4 linked regions of the Schizosaccharomyces pombe genome follow. The gene in region 4 interacts genetically with the main gene of each other region. Each region holds a gene or a part of one and is shown on either strand. Other genes may lie near its edges.

The links.
Region 1: mutations in php3 (region 4) and asl1 together harm fitness more than expected from each alone (negative genetic interaction), as found in Schizosaccharomyces pombe (one large-scale study listed by BioGRID).
Region 2: mutations in php3 (region 4) and shy1 together harm fitness more than expected from each alone (negative genetic interaction), as found in Schizosaccharomyces pombe (one large-scale study listed by BioGRID).
Region 3: mutations in php3 (region 4) and ppr5 together harm fitness more than expected from each alone (negative genetic interaction), as found in Schizosaccharomyces pombe (one large-scale study listed by BioGRID).

Annotation. Positions count from the first base shown.
Region 1 is NC_003424.3:191,410-196,008, reverse strand, and holds asl1 (O-glucosyl hydrolase Asl1), read left to right. Parts: upstream 1-1,958; 5' UTR 1,959-2,120; coding exon 2,121-3,713; 3' UTR 3,714-4,081; downstream 4,082-4,599. Other genes in the region: mevalonate kinase Erg12, read left to right, coding at 427-501, 751-1,890.
Region 2 is NC_003423.3:1,503,544-1,510,001, reverse strand, and holds shy1 (cytochrome c oxidase assembly protein Shy1), read right to left. Parts: upstream 4,905-6,458; 5' UTR 4,585-4,904; coding exon 4,325-4,584; intron 4,242-4,324; coding exon 3,629-4,241; 3' UTR 3,591-3,628; coding exon of another isoform or gene 3,483-3,590; 3' UTR 3,423-3,482; coding exon of another isoform or gene 3,204-3,422; 3' UTR 3,133-3,203; coding exon of another isoform or gene 2,014-3,132; 3' UTR 1,975-2,013; coding exon of another isoform or gene 1,713-1,974; 3' UTR 1,673-1,712; coding exon of another isoform or gene 1,236-1,672; 3' UTR 1,197-1,235; coding exon of another isoform or gene 1,078-1,196; 3' UTR 835-1,077; coding exon of another isoform or gene 696-834; 3' UTR 652-695; coding exon of another isoform or gene 619-651; 3' UTR 551-618; downstream 1-550. Other genes in the region: NatB N-acetyltransferase complex regulatory subunit Naa25, read left to right, coding at 619-651, 696-834, 1,078-1,196, 1,236-1,672, 1,713-1,974, 2,014-3,132, 3,204-3,422, 3,483-3,590.
Region 3 is NC_003424.3:4,605,104-4,612,237, forward strand, and holds ppr5 (PPR repeat-containing protein Ppr5), read left to right. Parts: upstream 1-1,714; 5' UTR 1,715-2,528; coding exon 2,529-6,314; 3' UTR 6,315-6,634; downstream 6,635-7,134. Other genes in the region: SPOM_SPAC1093.07 (uncharacterized protein), read right to left, coding at 804-1,040; pdx3 (pyridoxamine 5'-phosphate oxidase), read left to right, coding at 7,028-7,134. UniProt on the Schizosaccharomyces pombe protein: Mitochondrial RNA-binding protein that acts as a general negative regulator of mitochondrial translation.
Region 4 is NC_003424.3:2,143,992-2,146,902, forward strand, and holds php3 (CCAAT-binding factor complex subunit Php3), read left to right. Parts: upstream 1-1,689; coding exon 1,690-1,788; intron 1,789-1,935; coding exon 1,936-1,996; intron 1,997-2,051; coding exon 2,052-2,179; intron 2,180-2,334; coding exon 2,335-2,397; downstream 2,398-2,911. Other genes in the region: SPOM_SPAC23C11.07 (uncharacterized protein), read left to right, coding at 903-1,235. UniProt on the Schizosaccharomyces pombe protein: Belongs to a complex that binds to the sequence CCAAT located upstream of genes involved in mitochondrial electron transport.

The sequences.
Region 1 (4,599 bases), 2.0 Mb from region 4:
CAGCATTTTTTTATACCTGAACACTACTTCTCAATTTGCTTAGCTGTCTATTTAAATATTATGTTATCAATACTCATCATATATGTACTTGCTCTTGCTTTCTTGCTATAAGCTATAAATGTAGTATTTTATGGTTTTATGTAAATGTCTAACGAGTTTTGCGCTGTATACCTCGTTTAAAAAGTCATTTTCCTTAGCGCATATGAAAACTATAACATCGCGATTTTTATTACAAAAGAACTTTTAAAACAAAATCAAATAAAGTAACTTTTTAATTAAAATACCAATCTTTTGCTACAACTTCCAATACCATCATCACCTTGTCCTGTTTGCGTAGATATCTGTCGATAACCAACCTTCGTCGCCTATTTACCATCACCTTATTTTAACTGTGTTTTGAAGTTGAACGTAAAAAAAATTTCTGAAATGTCAAAATCGCTTATTGTTTCGTCGCCAGGAAAAACGATTTTGTTTGGGGAACATGCCGTTGTATATGGAGCTGTAAGTTTACCTAAGGTTTAAAGCAGATTACATTAGCGAGAGTTTTTAACAGGCTAGTACTGGATACAGCTCTGTTATGCATATATGATTTCTTTGTAACATAGTATTTGCAAAGCGAACACCACTTTTAACTTTGACAGTCGTCGCAAATGTCATTCTGCTATAGCCATGCTTATTTTTGATTCTAATCTTAAGCCATTTTAAAGCGAAAATATGGAGATCATTTAAATTTTTATGCTAACTTTCTAGACTGCGTTAGCTGCAGCTGTATCGTTACGGAGTTACTGTAAATTACAGACGACTAATAACAATGAAATAGTAATTGTGATGAGTGATATAGGGACCGAACGCCGATGGAATCTTCAATCGCTACCTTGGCAGCATGTAACAGTGGAAAACGTTCAGCACCCGGCATCATCTCCCAATCTGGACCTTTTACAAGGATTAGGAGAGCTATTAAAAAATGAAGAAAACGGACTTATTCACTCAGCAATGCTTTGTACCCTTTACTTGTTCACGTCTTTGTCTTCTCCTTCTCAGGGTTGTACTTTAACTATTAGCTCCCAAGTACCTTTGGGTGCTGGATTAGGTAGTAGTGCTACTATATCAGTTGTTGTCGCTACAAGTTTACTACTAGCTTTTGGTAATATTGAACCTCCTAGCTCAAATTCTCTTCAAAACAACAAAGCACTTGCGTTGATAGAGGCTTGGTCTTTTCTAGGTGAATGCTGTATTCATGGAACACCAAGTGGTATTGATAATGCAGTAGCAACAAATGGAGGACTTATCGCTTTTCGTAAAGCTACAGCTCATCAGAGTGCCATGAAAGAATTCTTAAAGCCTAAAGATACCTTATCTGTTATGATCACTGATACCAAACAACCAAAAAGTACTAAAAAACTTGTACAAGGAGTTTTTGAACTGAAGGAAAGACTACCAACTGTGATTGACTCAATAATAGATGCAATCGATGGCATATCAAAGTCTGCCGTCCTCGCATTGACTTCGGAGAGCGATAAAAACTCCTCCGCTAAAAAGTTAGGAGAGTTTATTGTTCTTAATCAAAAACTCTTAGAATGCTTGGGTGTATCCCATTATTCCATTGATCGCGTTTTACAAGCCACTAAGTCAATTGGATGGACGAAGCTTACAGGTGCCGGTGGTGGAGGTTGTACGATTACTTTATTAACACCTGAGTGCAAAGAAGAGGAATTTAAGTTATGTAAAGAATCACTATTAGCCCATAAAAATTCTATTTACGATGTTCAATTAGGTGGACCTGGTGTTTCAGTGGTAACCGACTCAGATTCATTTTTCCCTCAATATGAGTCTGACTTTGATTTTAAAAAATTGAATTTACTCAGCAAATTTAATAAATATTATATTTAAAGTTTTTATGTATAATCAAATTTTCATAACTGGTATATATATGAGTGGCTTGATAATGAACGCGGCTTGTCGTTCACCAACCACCACAGTAGAAGCTAGTCTATAAGAGTCGTTGTCCGTTCTTTAGCAACACTCCTTTCCACTCTTTTATATATCAACTATATACCAAATTTCATCTTTTCTTTCTTTTTTTAGTATTAGACGCGTTTTATCTAGTATTTTCTAAAAAAATGCGTACTACTTTCGCGACCGTCGCTTTAGCTTTTTTATCGACCGTTGGAGCTTTGCCCTATGCTCCTAACCATCGCCATCACCGTCGTGATGATGATGGCGTTTTAACCGTGTATGAGACTATCTTGGAGACTGTTTATGTTACCGCAGTTCCTGGTGCTAACTCATCTTCCTCATATACTTCTTACTCCACTGGTTTAGCTTCTGTTACCGAGTCGTCCGACGATGGTGCTTCAACGGCTTTACCTACTACCTCTACGGAATCTGTGGTTGTAACAACCAGTGCCCCTGCTGCTAGTTCCTCTGCCACTAGCTACCCTGCCACTTTTGTTAGTACTCCTCTATATACTATGGACAACGTTACTGCACCCGTATGGTCCAATACTTCTGTCCCTGTATCAACTCCCGAGACATCTGCCACTTCTAGTTCTGAATTTTTCACTTCGTATCCTGCTACCAGTTCCGAATCTAGCTCTTCTTATCCTGCTTCTAGTACTGAAGTTGCTAGCTCTTATTCTGCTTCTAGTACTGAAGTTACTAGTTCTTATCCTGCTAGCTCTGAAGTTGCTACGTCAACTTCATCCTATGTGGCTCCTGTCTCGTCTTCAGTTGCTTCTTCATCAGAGATATCAGCTGGCTCTGCTACATCTTACGTCCCCACTTCCTCATCATCTATTGCTCTTTCTTCTGTAGTTGCAAGTGCCAGTGTTTCTGCTGCTAACAAGGGAGTTAGTACTCCTGCTGTTTCTTCAGCTGCCGCCTCCTCTTCAGCTGTCGTTTCCTCTGTTGTCTCTAGTGCCACTTCTGTTGCTGCTTCTAGTACTATTTCCAGTGCTACCTCAAGCTCTGCATCAGCATCTCCTACTAGTTCTTCAGTTTCTGGCAAGCGCGGTTTGGCCTGGATTCCTGGAACTGACCTTGGTTACTCTGATAACTTTGTCAATAAGGGCATCAACTGGTATTACAACTGGGGTAGTTATTCATCTGGTCTGAGTTCCTCTTTTGAATATGTTCTCAACCAACATGATGCCAATAGCCTTTCTTCAGCTTCTTCTGTTTTCACTGGTGGTGCTACCGTCATTGGATTTAATGAGCCTGATTTGTCCGCTGCTGGAAATCCTATAGATGCAGCTACTGCAGCTAGTTATTATCTTCAATACTTAACACCTCTTCGTGAATCTGGTGCCATTGGTTATTTGGGATCACCTGCCATCAGTAACGTAGGTGAAGATTGGCTTTCTGAATTCATGAGCGCATGCTCTGATTGTAAGATCGATTTCATTGCTTGCCATTGGTATGGTATTGACTTTAGCAATTTGCAAGATTATATTAACTCTCTCGCCAATTACGGTCTCCCTATTTGGCTTACTGAATTTGCTTGCACCAACTGGGATGATAGCAATTTACCTTCATTGGATGAAGTTAAGACTTTGATGACCAGCGCTCTTGGCTTTTTAGATGGACATGGATCTGTTGAGCGTTACAGTTGGTTTGCTCCTGCTACCGAACTCGGAGCCGGTGTTGGTAATAACAATGCCCTTATCAGTTCCTCTGGTGGATTAAGTGAAGTCGGAGAGATTTATATTTCTTGAACTCCTTAAATTTACACAAAATGGGAAATTATCTTGTGAGATATAATGGTAATTCTTATGCTTTTTTTTCGTTCTTTAAACTGTCAAATACTCTTATTTCTTCTTGCTCTGAAACTCTTTTTTATGATATTTTGTTTCATGGTTTTTGTCGCTTTTTTTTGAATACTCTGCCATCTATCAGATTGTTTAAGCTTTCTGAACTATGCTTATAGGAGATGTGCTTCTTATTACATCGATCTTTCATTTATTCATTCGTTTATTTTACCAACCATGAAGTTCATTGTGTTTGATGTCACAATTTTTAAAGCGTGTATTCAATGAATATGCTGCGTGTTTTAATTTAATACAGTCGTTAAATGTCTTTTAAATTTTATTAGTAATCTTTTCTGTAAGCTTTGGAACTCTTGATAAAGTCGTTTAACTTTATTTGCTGACATTGTTGATGATCTGTAGTATAAAGGTAAATAATAAGCGAAAGTCTCGTCTATAAAATGAAAACAAATGCATAATTGACTGCTGTAATGATAAAACAACTATTTCTCCATTGCGCCATTGTGGGTGGTTTGATATCTGGGTGTTCTTTACATGCTTGTTTGCCTCTTTTCAAAAGGAGGTCTTAGCAACTTTGGACACACGAACAAGAAAAGGCTTATTGAACTATAGGATATTAGAAGCATGAGCAATTTAAGAGACATCACAAACTTAATTAGCAGATATTAAAAGAAAAAGTTATCTCGAATCTCTTGCGAAAAATTTATTAAAGTAACCTTTTTTTTGCATAGTTCTTTGCAGCAGATTTAACTTACGCCGAGTAATCTAGTACTAGATTCTTAACCTGCTCTACTCACTGTAATCATAAAAAGAAACTCTACTCATGCCCCTCTTA
Region 2 (6,458 bases), on a different chromosome or scaffold from region 4:
TTAAATAAAATAAAACTTTTAAGAATTGATACTGAGTTTTGATCTTTAAATTTAGTGGAGATACTCATTAAACAGCCTTATACCTAAATGAAAACTGAAAGGTTTACTGCGTTTACCTAGCATGCTTAGCAATGAATTAAAGGATTGCTCAATTACCTAGCTTTCTGAATATTACGCTAGCTTTCTACTCCCTTGCCATTGTAAAATACTTTTCTGGTCATCCCGCTGCTTTTCAATGAAACTGCTATTCATTGACAGCCTCTCAACAAAAGATGGGTTTCTCAAATTAAATGTACAAAAATTATGCATATTTTATATTTATTTGAGCACAAAATCACATTATATGACCATGCCGTGGATATACAACAAATTTTACAACACCAGGTATTTCTTTACGGCTTAAGGAAGTTTTAGTTATGACTGTAAATTGTACAGCTGTGAATATATTACTTAACCATAGTATACCCTTTAAACCAATGCAATTACACTTTTGCAGTAGATATATATCCAGATTCTACCACGCTGGCTATAATATTCTCCTCTGTAGAATAATAATTTGACTGCAACACCTACCAACTTCTGACTACTGTTTGGGCTTTAATTTCATTGCCTACTACAATGCGTCGTTCTGGGAGTAAAGAATCAACAATTGTAAGTAATCGAGTTATGTTTTTAGCTGTTAACATCCTTTTTAGGTTTATTCAGCGTTATCCTTGGCTCAGGCAGGACGTGGTCCCGAGGCTCTAGCACTTTTAGAACCGTTAAAATCGACTCCCATCAACAGCTTGGAACTTTTAGACATTATACAAGCTGTTTATGATGATCAAAAGAAGGGTAAGTATAATTAGGTTCTATTGAACAGATGAACATAAATGTTGATAGCACTTTGGTCGTATTTTTTATTTTGAATATTCTACTATTTCCTTGAGATAAAGGCTTTAGTTATTTGATCGGTTAAACTTTGCTTAAGAAAAACGATCTTTGTTCTTTTCGTAGCTTGATGATTCAAGTGCAACGTTTTATTTCTCAATGGACTTGTTTTTACCCTCTTACTTTTAAGTTATTAACTATTTGAAGGAGAAGAATCGTTTGTATTTTGGGAAAAGTTCTTGCAAACTTATGGAAAGCAGGAAAAAAACTTATTAGCTTACTTCAAAGCATCTATTCGCATCAAATCATTGTCTCACCAAAGAAAGGTAAGATCTTAATTTGTTTTTTTTTTACTAACTCCTCAGGCTGCTGTAGAATTGCAAAAGAACTTTCCTTCTAGGAAACATACCTTATGGGTTATCTCATCTTTGTATCTTTTGTCCAAAAAGTCGGAAAATGAGGTTGAACAACGTTTGCTGAAAGCACTAGCTGAAAAAACTGCTAAACTCATTTTCGAAAAACCAACAGGTTATATCGATTCTTGTGAGGAGTTTCATCTTTATTTAGACGTGTTGCTTTTAGTGGGAGACAAGGACAGAGCGTTAGATGCTTTAATACATCAAGATGCTGATCGCTTTGTTGATGCTGACGCCGACCTTCTTTTGAGGAAGCTTGAATTGCTTGCTTCCTGTGCGCGTTGGGATTCTTTATTCACGTTTTCGCTTTCTCTTTTCCAAACTGGGAATACTGATTGGAAGGTTTGCAAAGCTTTGCTGGATAGTGCTTCCAATGATGATTCAAAGTAAGTTTTTTTTTTTGCATTATTACTAACTTCTCCATAGATTAGTCCCATTAAAGGATTGTATATTGAAAGCGTTGTCAACCAGCAGCACAAAAAGAAATCTTCATTTACTTTGGATTGAAGCCAGCGCACGGTTTTTTCCTGAAGAACACGAATCAGCATTACTTGGCTATATCAAAAAGCTGTATATGAAACCAATTGTTTTTGAAGATTTGAGACCTTATCTATTGAAGCTGAATGTTGATGCACAACACCGGTTATTAGATGCATTTAAGTTGGCTGATCTAGGTGAATCCAATGAAGTAAGTATTTATTCATCTTTCAATATTAACTCGTCGTAGTCTCAAAAAGTCGATAAATTATATGCTGAGGTTTTGCTTCTGAAGATCCATTTTTTGCTCTTTGAGTCGTTTACTGCAGAATCGGTTGTCGATTACGTGCGTAGATGCTTCGTCGCATTTGAAAAGGGTTTGTCTTTAAGTAAAGGCTTATTACCCACTGACTTTACGCACGGTTATGAAGCTTTGTTATTAGCAGTTCATTCATTGATATATATGTGGGAGGGGAATAAGGATTTAAAACCTGCCGAAAAACAAGCTTTAATTTTTGACGCAATCTGTCTTTTAGAAAAAGGCATTACTTATAGTCAACATAACTTTCATTTAAAGCTACCCCTTATTCGTTTATATCTTCTTCTTGATGGAGGCTTCCCTGCTGCTGCTAAAGTTTACGACACTATGTCCATTAAGCAAATTCAAAACGATACCCTTGATCATTATCTCTTGACTCGTGCTACTACCTATTATCCATCTTCTGTTACTTCTCACTATATTAACTCAAGTCTCAAAATATATGGTTCGAATGAGTTTGAAACACCAGAGATGATTTCTATGGCTTATGAAGATGGTGCTTACTCTCAAATCGAAGATATGCGTAATTTCCGATCCCGTTTAGACCACAGTACCTGGAAAAGCATTTCTTTGGTCGAGCGGGCTAGGATACATTATCTTACCGCTTTTAAACCACCCAAACAGTATCTTCCCAAATGTTCATCTCCGAAAGATAATCGAGATTTAAAGGTCTTTGCAGATTATGGATCTGATAAATTGCCAACAGTTGAAGAAAGTTTAAGAAATTCGCCTAAACCGGACACGCTTTGGATCCATTTGACTGTCATTGGTCATTCTCTCGTTCAAGACAGCATAGTAAACGGCGATTTTGAAAAGGCCGTTTTAAGTGCTAAGGAAATGGAAGTTTTGTGCGAAAACAATGATTTATCGAAGCAATTAACTTCGGAAGAAATTGTTCATATGAAATTATTGATCCAACTGGGATTACTTTCGGTAAAGGTCAAGAACGGAGACTACGAAAATTCCTCGTTCGAAACGATTGAAAATTTAATTGAGTCATTCGATTATGAGAACTCCACGCCTTTAAGTCAATTGACAAAGTACACTGAAGTAAGTTTACCAAACTGGTTTTTTTTTTTAAAAAAAATGATATAAAAATTTCTAAACTAACCGAATTATAGATCATAAATGACCTTATCACTTGTCTAAACAGCTTCCTATATCACGTGTCAGCTACCAAGAAAAAAGAATTTACCAGACAATACCAACTTCTTAAAAACATCAGCAGTAACAAATTAGGAAGTATCTCTGGAATTACGAAGCATAAAAAGAAGGCCGCCAGAAAATATGTATCAGAATTGTTGTCAAACTCTTGGCTGAGCAATTTATCTGAAACTCAGGTACGTGATGATTATAGAGCATTAAAATTATAGGCATGAGAACTAACTTCCTAATAATAGGTTCCTTACGATCCGAAGTTTGCAAAACAAGTTGGTGAAGGAATGATCGATTCATACATTCAAACGACGGACGCAGTAAGCAAGCTTCCAAAATTTGTAAAATTTTAGGTAGATAATATTTAGAAACTTATAAATATGAAAATTTTTTATAATCGTTTGTTGTTTAGAATCTTGCTTCTTTCGTATGCAGAATTCAGAGAAGATGTGCCTGAACCTCTCTTAAAATAGACGTAAAGCATTATAGCTGATACCACACTTAGAGAATACCAAGTGATAATATATTCTGTATGACTGTTGAAAATTTCAACTTTTAGAGGATGACCAAGAGGCAAGCCTCTCTTAACATGATCGGCTTCTTGCAACGGTGTAAGCGATGGTTGTAGTTCTGTTATCAAAATGGGGAGAGTTCCTTTCAATTGTGCAAACTCACGAACATTTAAGAAGTAAAAAGAATTTTTTTCAGGCTCATTCTTCATCATAAATCTTGGCTTATCAGTATGTTGTCTCAAAAGACCTTCAATGACCACTGGACCTTTAGGTAAAGAACTAGGATCTCGAGAAGACTGTTCAGCAAATGATCGAGCAATCCATCCTCTGTTGACTAAAATTCGACGCCCATCGTCTAAAATAAATGGGGTTACTACGTGATAGCCAGGTTGGCCTTCCTTCGTTCTTGGACCGACCAACATTTCTTGGTCGTGACAAAACACACCACGAAGCAAAACCCTAGTCCACTCAAGTTTTTTTGTATCTTGCTCTCTAAGTGATTATGTTAGCTTAATGTAAAAAACGACAGTTCAATTGCAAAACGTGCAATTTGTGTATATGTTAACTTAACGTACGTAACAGTTTTCGGTAATAAAATTGCGGGCTGTTGAAGCCTTTCCGTGAGTGTATTGATGATACCCATTTTCCATTCTCGTCGCTTTACCTGCCAAGTTCCTAAAGCAAACGTGACAATTGGAACGGCAGAAAGCAATCCAACTAAAAATTTATTTTTTTTAGGCCTCACAGTTGTTCCTTCAAGAGTACTCAAATAGCGAAAGACACACGGTCCACGCTTTGAGAATGTGAATTTAGTAGCACTTTTCCACCAAAACATGATAGACAGGAATCCAAGATTCAATCGAAACAAAAATAAAAAGAAAAGATTAAATCCTAAAAGGAATCAAACAATTGATATTTATATTCAATTCAAAAACTTTTAAAATGTTGCAAAACGGAGTTAACTTGAATGGCCTCTACTAGCAGCAAAATCCCACTCAGGTCTTCTGATACTACTGTAAAGCGTAAGTAGAATAGGGCAATTGACTAGAATCTTCTAAGCGAAAACGGAATATTGCTATAAAGAAATAAAATTTTCTTAGTCAAATCCTTCGACAAGTAAGATACTGTTCAATACGGGGCCAGTTTGTTGATGTTGACAGCTAAGAGAGACGCGAATGTCTAAGTAGGTACCTTTGCGTATTCACTCCAAGCTTCTACAAGTCACATGTCTTTTTTAAGTAAAGGAAGCGAAATCTGCGCTATAGTTAAATAATATAATAGCTTAACATTTGTTATCTTTCGATAAAGCAATATATGTTCTTACGACGTATGTTTTAAAGTAAACAATCGTCTTTATTAGTATGAAACTATGAATTGGTTTTTATGAAAAGCTAGTTGAGCAAAATTAGCGGTTTGGATTCGACATCTGAATAGAATTTTAGTTAAACTTGCTCCCACACTACTTATGCCCAAAGTTTTACCGAAGTTGACAGTTTAATCAACAATTCCTGAATTTGCTTATACTTGGTGTATCCTTTCTAAAAAAAAACTAGAAGATTTTTGTTACTGTACTTGAAAATACCTATTATAATCTGTGGCTACAACATCACAAGGTCAGAGTCTATACCCATTGTTCTTGGCTACAAAAGATCAAGTCCAGAAGGAGCTATCCATAACCAATATTACAAGGCATGCAAACATATTTTGAGAGTACATCATGACTTGTTAGGCAAGTAGTAAGAAAGACGGATATAAAAAAATAGCCTACAGCACCCCGGATTCCCATGTTGTCTCCAACCATAGTACTAACGAGGCCCTCAGACGCTTAACTGCAGTGATCGGACGGGAACTGGTGTTTTCGCCTAGGTATGGCCGTAGACATTAAACATTCTAGTTTATAAATTATAAAGGTTAGAAAAAAAGTTTACCGGTAGTTTATAAGTTGTTTGAAATTAATGGGTAAAGGTTTTTGTGCTTTTATTTTAGTTTATTGCAAACATAAATCAGAGCTTTAAAGTTTGTATTTAGTATAACCATACATTAAGAATTGCGAAACAACTGCAGACTCCAAATTTAGACTGGAAAACGTCTTACTCGGAAAAGAGATTTTGCTGCTATTTTATCATTATTAACACTCACTTTGCTATTAACGTTACAGTCATATTAATATCATACCCAAAAATTTGAAATCTTTTTTCCGCATGAAAAAGAATATAATATAATGTATATGCCTCCACTCGGAATCGAACCAAGGATCTTCGCATTACAAGTGCGATGCTGTACCACTAAGCCATAGAGGCAGTATCGTCGGAATGTATTTATTAAATTATATATACTAATGCTAGTTTTAATACTCGACAAGTTGGCTGGTCAAAAAGTAGTTTCTTAATCTGCTGTTACTGATCGCTTTCGACAATAACAATTAAATAATAGTGCAGTTTATTTATTTAAAAGTCTTTTGTTGACATAGGATTTTGTTCAAGATAAATGGTTGAATATAGTTTAGTAGAACTACAACCTGCAATCAGGCAAAAAGCATGAACAAACTAATATAGCTCTAAAGTAAAAAACTATTTGAATCATTTGCTATACAGATTATTAGGCACCGACCCTTCAGTTATTTGACTACAAATGTTAACATGTCAATAAGTTAGGCATTCTCTGGTTTTCTTGATGTAAATAAACTGACGACATGTACCGTATCTACGT
Region 3 (7,134 bases), 2.5 Mb from region 4:
AGATAAAGACTGATCTACGGAGTCAATTCTTGATAATATTCATCCTTTTCTCAATACCACGCTAACCTTTATGGCAACCTAGATACTCTTGAAATATTGAACTACAGTGACCTACCATTTATAAATTGTTATATTGCAAATTGCCGATCTATACCGAGAATATCAAAGTAGTGCTGTATATTCAATATACCGAGCACTCGTTCGAGTTTCTACCATTGTAACATATGACTTTTTATCAGATCAACATGATATATGTCAGCAATGATCATTTACAACTCACAGCATACCCCATCGATACATTTTATAATGCCTTTCTTTCCATAAAGTAACGTTTCGATTGGAGGGCTTCCAGAGAGTGAGGCTCAGACAGTAATGGAGGCTTGTGTATTTAAAATCATACCAATGCCATTTGTTTTCCCTCCATACTTCGTGATTCTAAATGATCTGGTTATTTAATGAGTAATTCCGCAAGTTTTCTTTCTAATAAGGTTGAGATACTGTGCGCAGAGGAGCTTGATTATTCTTTAGTGCACTTATTTTAAAAGTACCCGTTTTAAGGTCAATGAATTTTGTTTTGTCTAAAAATGTTTTCTTAGGCGCGAAGTATAGTTTAAAGTTTAGGATTCACGTATTTCTCTAATAATGAAATTCGCCATGTATTTATTTATTTCTGCACCTGTATGCGATTCGTAGGTTTGTCTGCCTACGGGATTTTTCAGCTAGCACAATAGACTCTTACTTCTCATCTCTTGCGTGCTATTTTTGTAATTTCCCACCCTTCCTGAATTTTGCTTAGTCCCAACTTAGGAGTTGTTGGAAAATCTCCTTACCCGATAAAATGTGTTCCTAACCTGTCCCCTTTTACTAGCTGCGGCAAAACTGGCGCTAGTTCCGCTTCTCAAATCTATCTCAATATCGTCCGCCTTCGAATTTGCGTTGGGACGATAAACTTGTCTCAAAAAAATCGATCCACAATTTTTTTTATCTTCTTTTTTCACCGACGAGGCTCGTTTGGTCCACGCTAAAATATTGGTTTCCATATATATACATACCTGACATCCTGACAAACTAACATTCGCTAAATTCGTCGAATTATCAACGGGTGCAGAATATCTTTTACCACATATTTAGCAGCTCCTTATCTTTAAGACTTCTTATTCGGGGTAACGTGACTTTGACTTCATTGTCTCACAAAATTGCTACGACCAACCAACTACAAATATCACTCGTTCAATTTTAAACTTGAACTTGTCGAAAGCCATACTGAATACTCTGTTACTACGTACTAGACAATTGTTGAAATAGATTATTTTCACACTTATTGCCCTGTAACAGCTCGTTTTTCAACAAAACGAAATAATTTTGTTGATTGTGAAAAATTTCCGCTTTTTTTTTTGCGTCGCCATCCTCATCTTTCCCTGTTGGAAGCTTAAACACACGAAACTTGTGCTTGGTGTTTTAATTAATCAAGCACACACTTCCCTTATAGATCTACTTCCTTGCCCTTTTCTGAGGATTCATTAGCTACAGACATATCTGTTATTCATTCAACAAATTCTTGAAGCTCAAATCGCTTTTCTTTTTCCGCATTTTAGATGAACTAAGCATTTAATTATTCTATCATTTTCTCTCCCTTTTTTTTGTTATTCGGTTTAACGTACCTAGGTTTTCTACCCAATCCTCTTTTGTTTGGCACGGTGTATTAGATTTCGTCAGGTTTATTGTTTTTTCCCATCTATTTCTTCATTCATTTATTCCACTCCCCTGCTTCAATTTGATATAACTAAATTACCCTCCTCTTGTAATTTTCATATCGGCGTCTTGTTTCATTTCGCCACTGCTGACGCTTGATCAGATTTAAATCGTCATATATACTCTTCTCCACTTGCCATTAAGACGATCGTACTTTGAAAACATTGTAAAAATTCTACTTTATAAGCAAAGTATTCGAATCGCTTTCTTCATTTGACTTTATTGGAATTTTTATTTGTCTTTGATAATTCAATTGCGAGTGCTAGGATTGCTCTATCTTTTTATTTTTCAATCCTTGAATCTTTACGTACCCTCCAACTAGCACTCCTTTGTTTGCTTTGTGTATATTTCACTCTTATTCTGGTCTATAACGCAGTTCATCTGATAACGGTGATAGGCTCGTCATTACCAGGCGTACATAACACATTCACTTGATTTATTCTATATTTCAAATCTCAGTGACCATTTCATTTAACCTTTGCTGTACTATTTTATAGTCTGTCCTGCTAGTCTTCTTTCCCTGAGTTAGTGGATATTCTGGTTGGTGGTCGGCTATACCGTTTAGCTATACATATCGTTTCCGTTTTTCTCTCTTTTTTATTCATTTCTTGTGTTCTTTGGGTGTTTACTATTCTTTTTATTATTCATTTCATTTGTTTTACGTTTTTTCTATTTATTGTGTCTCTTTTTGGTCTAATTTTTTTTTAGATTGTTTATATCCGTTTTTGTTTATTTTCTAGACTATTATCCCATTTACGCTTAATATTAGTTTCAATATGGTTTACACGAAAGCTTGGTTTTTGCAAAATATTGCCAGACAAACACTTGGCAAAAATGTTGCCGTTCATCGTCCTCCTTTGAAGCTTGGAAATATGACGAATTGGATTCAACAACAACAAGCCCAAACGAACCTCTCTCTCTCTAACACGAAAGCACCTGGTTCATTGGATGAGCGTCTTTTCTTAACTGAGGATGACATTATCTTCCATGACCGTAGTATTCAGCTTGGTTACTTCGATCCTTCTCTTTCTGAGCGTAAGCAATCTCCTCCAGGCAAGTCCCTTCATCGCTTTGTTGACAATCTCAACCCTAACAGCTCACATTTTTCTGCTTCTCTTTTACCTGCTTCTCTCTCGTCACTATGTGACTCGACATGCGGTGATGTAGATGATGAACAACAATTTAACTCTCTCGCAACATCTCCCCTCTCAACTGAAACCCAGTCCGAAGTTTCGGACCCTTTACTGGATACTTTAACTCCTAATTCTTTGGAATCTTCTTTTGCTTCAATTTCTCTGAATTCTTTCACTTCTGCCAATGAGTTTATTCAATTTTTGAAAAGACTTGCTAGTAGTAAATTATCCATTCATACTTTTGATCTGTATAAGCTTGTTCGAAACTCTCCTGAACTATTGACTTTGGAAGCGTACAATATTGTTTTGCAATGCATGAGTACGGACGACTATTTTTTGTCGTCATCAAAAAACATTCAAAAAATTATCAAGGTTTATGTCGATATGCTTAATTCGTTTATCTCTCCAAACGTAACTACATTTGAAACCGTCATTTTCGCTCTTTGTCGTCGCGCTAAATTCGTGCATCAAAAAATTGAATCACTCTCTAAGCGCACTATTTACGCACATCCGAGTATTGCAAAAGAAATACAGCCTGAATTGCTCGATCTGCAATCCGAGATGCCTTTGCAAACTGCTGTTTTCATGTTTACTTCTAGCCTCATTAATCACGATCTCATATACTCTCCTCAATTTTATGCTATTTTAATTGAGAGTGTTTCTTTGTATGGAACGCAAAGCCAATTGGATTCCTTATTAGAGTGCGTTCCTCTTGGCACTATTGAAGCTAACGGCCATCCTGATTTACTCCCAGCTCTAATTAGAGCTCTCGGTAGAGCTAAAAGGCTCAACAGTTGTTTTCAACTTTTAGAGCGTTATAACTTATCTGATCCAACTAGTGACACTTCGATGACTAATGTGCGTTCTTGGGAAGGTTTAATGGAAGCTTATTTTGACACAGATCACCATGTTGAAGCAAGTGCATTGATGAAATCTTTTTTCCGAAAGGCTGATAGCAATCAAGTTATACCGTCTTCAATATTAGACTGCTTTTTACGTAGATTGGCTCAATTAGGACATTATAAGGAATCTGCTGAATGGCTTGGTATGGCTATAGAAAAGATTAGCACTTACAAAGCGAGTCCGTCTACATTATCGTCCATATTGGAGGCGGCTTGTTTGAACAACAACGACAAGTTTGCTATTGCTTTTGTGAGAAAATATACATTATCTCGATTTAGCGACTGTCATGCAGTGCTTCTCCGTTATCTGGACTTGCTTGCCAGATCAGGGAATGTCGATCTACTTCATTTACATGCATATCCCGTTATTTGTTCTGTGTCTTCTCACACTAACTTTACGTTTTCGAACGTTTACAAAGCTTTCATTGAGAACGGAAAGATTGATGTTGCACTTCGTCTACTTCGTAAACACATTGATCCAAAAGTTTCCCTTGGTAACAATACTGCACCATCTTCTAATAGTGTTGCTCTTCAATTATCAATCCTTAATGGATTTTGGGAAGTGTTGACGGAGGAGTTACAAAAAGATGTGCATGTTCTTTTATCGTTGGTTTCAACGTTAGAGAACCAAGTAAACTTCCCTCAAGTTGATTTTACTACTCCGTTGTTACGACATATAACGGGTTACTTAGTTAGCCGTCGCTTAGAACCGGAGCTCATTTCTCCTAGAGTATTTGGCTTTTTGCTGGAATATGCAGCATTCAATGTCGTGCAAACCGAAGGTACTTTCACTTCTAAGGTTATCCTCACTGATTTGTTAAAATGTTACTCCAATGGAACGTATAAAGCATCTTTCAAAAACGTTCATGTTGTTTTACGTTCTTTCACATACCTGAAAGAAGACGAAATGCTGGTTGCATCCGTTCGAGATGACATCGTCTCTGAAGCAGTCGTCGGATTCTCTACTGATAACAATGGACAGAAAATTTTAGCGGATATATCGCAAGTTTGTTATTGCCTTGACGACCTGGAATGCATCGATCAAAGTATAAATTCACTTGTTTCCAAAATGTTAACAAGTGCATCACCTGAGCAGGTGGACGTTAATATATTGTTTTTCCAGTTCGGTAAGCTTATTGAAACCAATAAATTTTTGCATCCTGAAGTTTATCCTACGTTAATATCTGTTTTAAGCAAAAATAAACGTTTTGATGCTGTGCAACGTGTTTTTGAGCATTCCAAGCACCTCTATAGGAAAATCAGTACGAAGTCTCTTGAAAAAGCGAACTGGTTTATGGCGTTGATTTTAGACGCCATGATCTTATCGTCTTCCTTTGCTCGTCAGTTCAAATCTTCAAATCTTTTTTGTGACAATATGAAAATGCTTGGATATATTCCTCGTGCTTCAACTTTCGCACATTTGATTAACAACTCAACAAGGAGAGGAGATACTGATGATGCCACTACCGCTTTGAATATTTTTGAGGAGACCAAACGCCATAATGTGAAACCTTCTGTTTTTCTATATAATGCAGTGCTTTCTAAATTAGGTCGAGCTCGCCGCACAACAGAGTGCTGGAAATTGTTTCAAGAAATGAAGGAATCGGGGTTACTTCCTACCAGCGTTACTTATGGTACCGTAATTAATGCTGCTTGTCGCATTGGTGACGAGAGTCTTGCTGAGAAGCTATTTGCTGAAATGGAAAATCAGCCTAACTATCAACCTCGCGTTGCTCCATACAACACTATGATACAATTTGAGGTCCAGACAATGTTTAATCGTGAAAAAGCGCTATTTTACTACAATAGGCTATGTGCTACCGACATAGAGCCTTCTTCTCATACTTATAAGTTATTGATGGATGCTTATGGTACATTGAAGCCTGTCAATGTAGGTTCCGTAAAGGCAGTTCTTGAACTTATGGAGCGTACAGATGTGCCAATTTTATCTATGCATTATGCTGCATATATTCATATTTTAGGAAACGTTGTTTCGGATGTTCAGGCAGCCACGAGTTGCTACATGAATGCTCTTGCCAAACATGATGCCGGGGAAATTCAACTAGATGCGAACTTATTCCAATCCCAAATTGAATCTCTTATTGCAAATGACCGCATTGTTGAAGGCATTCAAATTGTTTCTGATATGAAGCGTTACAATGTCTCGTTAAATGCATACATTGTAAATGCCCTTATAAAGGGATTTACTAAGGTTGGCATGATTAGCAAAGCACGTTATTACTTCGACCTTTTAGAATGCGAGGGTATGTCTGGTAAGGAACCTAGCACCTATGAAAATATGGTTCGTGCCTACCTAAGTGTAAATGACGGTCGAAAGGCAATGGAAATTGTGGAACAATTGAAACGCAAGCGTTACCCGCTACCGGTTGTTAATCGTATTTCTTCCTTGGTAAATAGCCATATGGGTCAGAAACCTAAACGTCGTTCTTTGAATACTAGTCACTCTTCTCTTGCTTCTTTAGGAAATGCTAGTACCCAACACTCAATTAATAGTTCTATCAATTAGACTGAAATTTGTGTGCTAATTGGATGAGATTTGGGCTATTCTTATATATTATATTTGATTATTGGCATGTATCTTTATTTCGTTCCTTGAAATAATTTTAAGCATCTTTTTTGATGCTATGTAAAATATTTTTATAGATTAATATAGAACTTAGAATTTTATGCATTAAAATGTCTAGAATTTACTTATCGCGTATTCAATTTTACTTTTAACCACTGGACCATTCCTGTACAAACATTGCTGAAATGGTTATGACTACCGCTAAGTAATAAAATTTGGTTCCACACATTACTAGATGATCTAAGTTGAGAACAATGTTGTTACCATGGCATATAGTTGTTAAAAAACTTCAGTTTACATAATACTTTTAAACATTCCCGCTACTGTAGAAGCACTGTTTTAATAAGTGCCCAATTGACATCAGTTACAATTTCAGGGATAAGCTTAAGAATGCTTGAAACTTTGGTATCATGACAGTAACTCTTGGTATCGTTCATGGCAATTTAAAAAGACATAGAATTTGATCGATTTGTGTTAAAATTAACCAGCTCTAGCATGCTGTACCGTATGACACGTCTTTTGCTAGCATTTTCTTTAGTGCGTGATACTGAGTCGTTTCATCGCGTTATATATATATCAAAACAGATATCTCATATAAATTCAGTTACTGCCTGAAACGAGGAAAAGTATCTTTTCCAATCCCGTTTACCACGATGTCTGAAAATACTGATTCCACCCACGAAAAGCTAATTTTTGCACCTTCTCGCTATCAATATGAAAAATCAAGTTTGCACAGAGATGCACTTATGGGAAAAGACCC
Region 4 (2,911 bases):
GGACGGAAGAGTAGGAATGATGGTAAAGGCAAAAAACATATTCGTTCTTTTGACAACACACAGCTCGCATCGCCTTCAATTACCCTTGCCAATGTTGCAAGTGATGATGGGTGAGATGGGATAGAAAGAGGAGCAAACTTTTAATCTGATATATCATTGATGTATAGGAAATGAGAAATAAAAATACAACTAGGTTTATAGTGCATTCCACTGTATAATATAAAGATTAGGATAGATACACATGACTTTTGAAGTGCAGAAGTATAGTCAAGTAGGGAATATAGTTGAGTAGATGCGAGTTGTAGAACAAAACAATTCAGTATACGCAATTTTCCCCTACGGGAACATATTTAGGTATGCGTGCGAATGGAGAGTGAAGATGAATGAAATGTAGAAAAAAAAAACACTGGATTGTCAGTTTTGCCATAAGATACATTTACTTTCTTGTTATTCCATTTTTCTACGAATCTTCTTTGCTAGGTTATTTTTATTAACTTTTTCGCAAACACGATTTTAATAACATTGAATTCCTCTTCAGTTATCAGATGTGAACGGTAAATACCAATTGTGAACTATTTCAAACGAACTTAATATTTGCTCTGTAAGTTGTAAAATAAATGTCTCATAATTATTTCGCTGTCAGTTTCCACAATCGCTTCTACTCTTTTTTTATATTTATATTTATATTTTTTTTTTGAATTAAATTAATTCATATTATTATTTATTTTTCTTGGTTTTCTAATGATATGTTTATGATATTTATAAAAGGATTTATTTATTTGCTTTTTGTATGAAGGATCGTCGCTTGAATGACAAAACACTTCTTTTGCTAGTCTCTCCTTTCCTCTTGTTTAACGTATATCACGATTATTTTGTCAGCGTAAAAGTGACATAGGGATTAGATGGCATCCCACTTTCTTTTTACTGGGAAACCTTGGCTTCAAGAGAAGACGCCTCGCCTTCACCTTCATCCCACTTGGGACCTTAAAGCTTCCAAAAGTCTTGCTCGTTTCCCTTATACGCCACTTGAAAGTCTTTTGGCCCCCATTTCGGCCTTTCACCCCACTTACCTAAATAGCGCAGCCCCGTCGAAGGCTCAGAGCCATCCAGTATTGCTCGCCGCTGGAGTAGGTGGAATAGTAGTTAGATGCCCCAGTCGGAAACCGATATATCGTACCACTCGAATTCAGTATCTCTTGTTAATCTCCCACTTTACAACTGCACTATTTAAATAATATTATAGGCCGATACAGTCAGTCTGCGAATTGCTTGCAACCTGTAGAAACAAATTGCTGTTTCTTTTGCAATAACATAGTGTTTCTTTATCGCAATAACCAACTACTGATTTCTTTCCCTATTGGAAGTAGATAGACGTTTACTTTCTTTTGTGAAGAAGCAGAAAGTTAACGTTAAGCCATTACCCTCGTTCATTGCTCAAAAGGAGGTCATTTCTTTTTATTTGATTTGTTCGTCTTTTAGGATCTTCATCTCCTGCTGAATTATTGGATTTCTTTTTAGTTCCCTCCACAAAGGCTCGAGAATAGGTTATCAGCTGTCGATTTTTGTCAAGGATCGTGCTTGCTAGTAGTCAAACCAATTTTAGCGGGGTTTGTGTACTTATTTTCGTTATTTGAGGTTTCTCTGCTCGCCAAAATTAAATTATACAAGTAAAAGATACATTTAATTATCATGAGCGCAGACGGGTTGGATTACACCAATCTCCTACCAATTGCAAATGTCGCGCGTATCATGAAATCGGCACTTCCCGAAAACGCCAAGATTTCCAAGGTATGCATGATTTGTTGAATTGAGAAAAATCGCATTGTCAGTCTCTTCGATTGATTGATTGCTAGTGACGGAGTAGGTCGCTGTGAGTGCGTTCTTCTCTTTTGTTTTGTAATTTTCATGTTGCAGTGCTAATGTCTGACTTTTTAGGAAGCTAAAGACTGCGTCCAAGATTGCGTTAGTGAGTTTATTTCCTTTGTTACTGGTGAAGGTATGGAATCAATAGCAAAAGCCTCATGTATAGTTATTTACTGACCATATAATAGCATCTGAACAATGCACTCAAGAAAAGAGAAAGACAATTACTGGTGAAGATGTTTTATTGGCTTTAAATACCCTTGGGTTCGAAAATTATGCCGAAGTTTTAAAGATTTCTCTCACCAAATACAGAGAGGTAAGGAAAAATTCTTTATTTGAATGGTGATACGTGTACTTCTACTTCCTTGTTGGCTTAGAGATTTAAATTGTCTCAAGCAATGAAGGCGCAACAATTCATTCACTCATACCAAAATTTCATTCTCATAGTCACTTTTCTAACATCTACTCTAGCAACAAGCAAGATCTGCTAGCATGAAAGAAACTAAACAAAGCCGGTCCGAAGAGCCTCAGTAATTTCCTTATATATTTTGCATTAGCGGGGTTTTCCCTGAAATATTTCCTGACTTTTGCAGCGATCGTCGATCGCCTTATTTGTTATTCCTCTCTCTTTTTGTACTCTCCTGTTTTATCTCTGTTTATCTTACAAATGATGCTAATTTACGAACTATGTTAATTTCTACTTTAACCAAGTTTCAAAGATAAGCACTATATTGCCAAAATGGCCTGTTCATATTTAAAACTTCCTTAATGTCGTCAGTATAAATTTAGCAATTACTATTGCCTGTTTACTTAAAGTGTATTATTGTGATTATCCCTCATTCGCTTTTGCTTACTTTTTCATTTTGTTAATCCTGCTACTGTTAACCTATATATTATTTTGAAAAAAATAGCATTTCATTTTTATTTTTACTCATTTCGTCTATTTCACCGAAATCAGCATAAGACACATATAGTCATTCGGTTCATGGAAGGATTAGCCGATGTTTCCGTAGTCATATACGTATCAATCAATAAATTTTCTTATTGT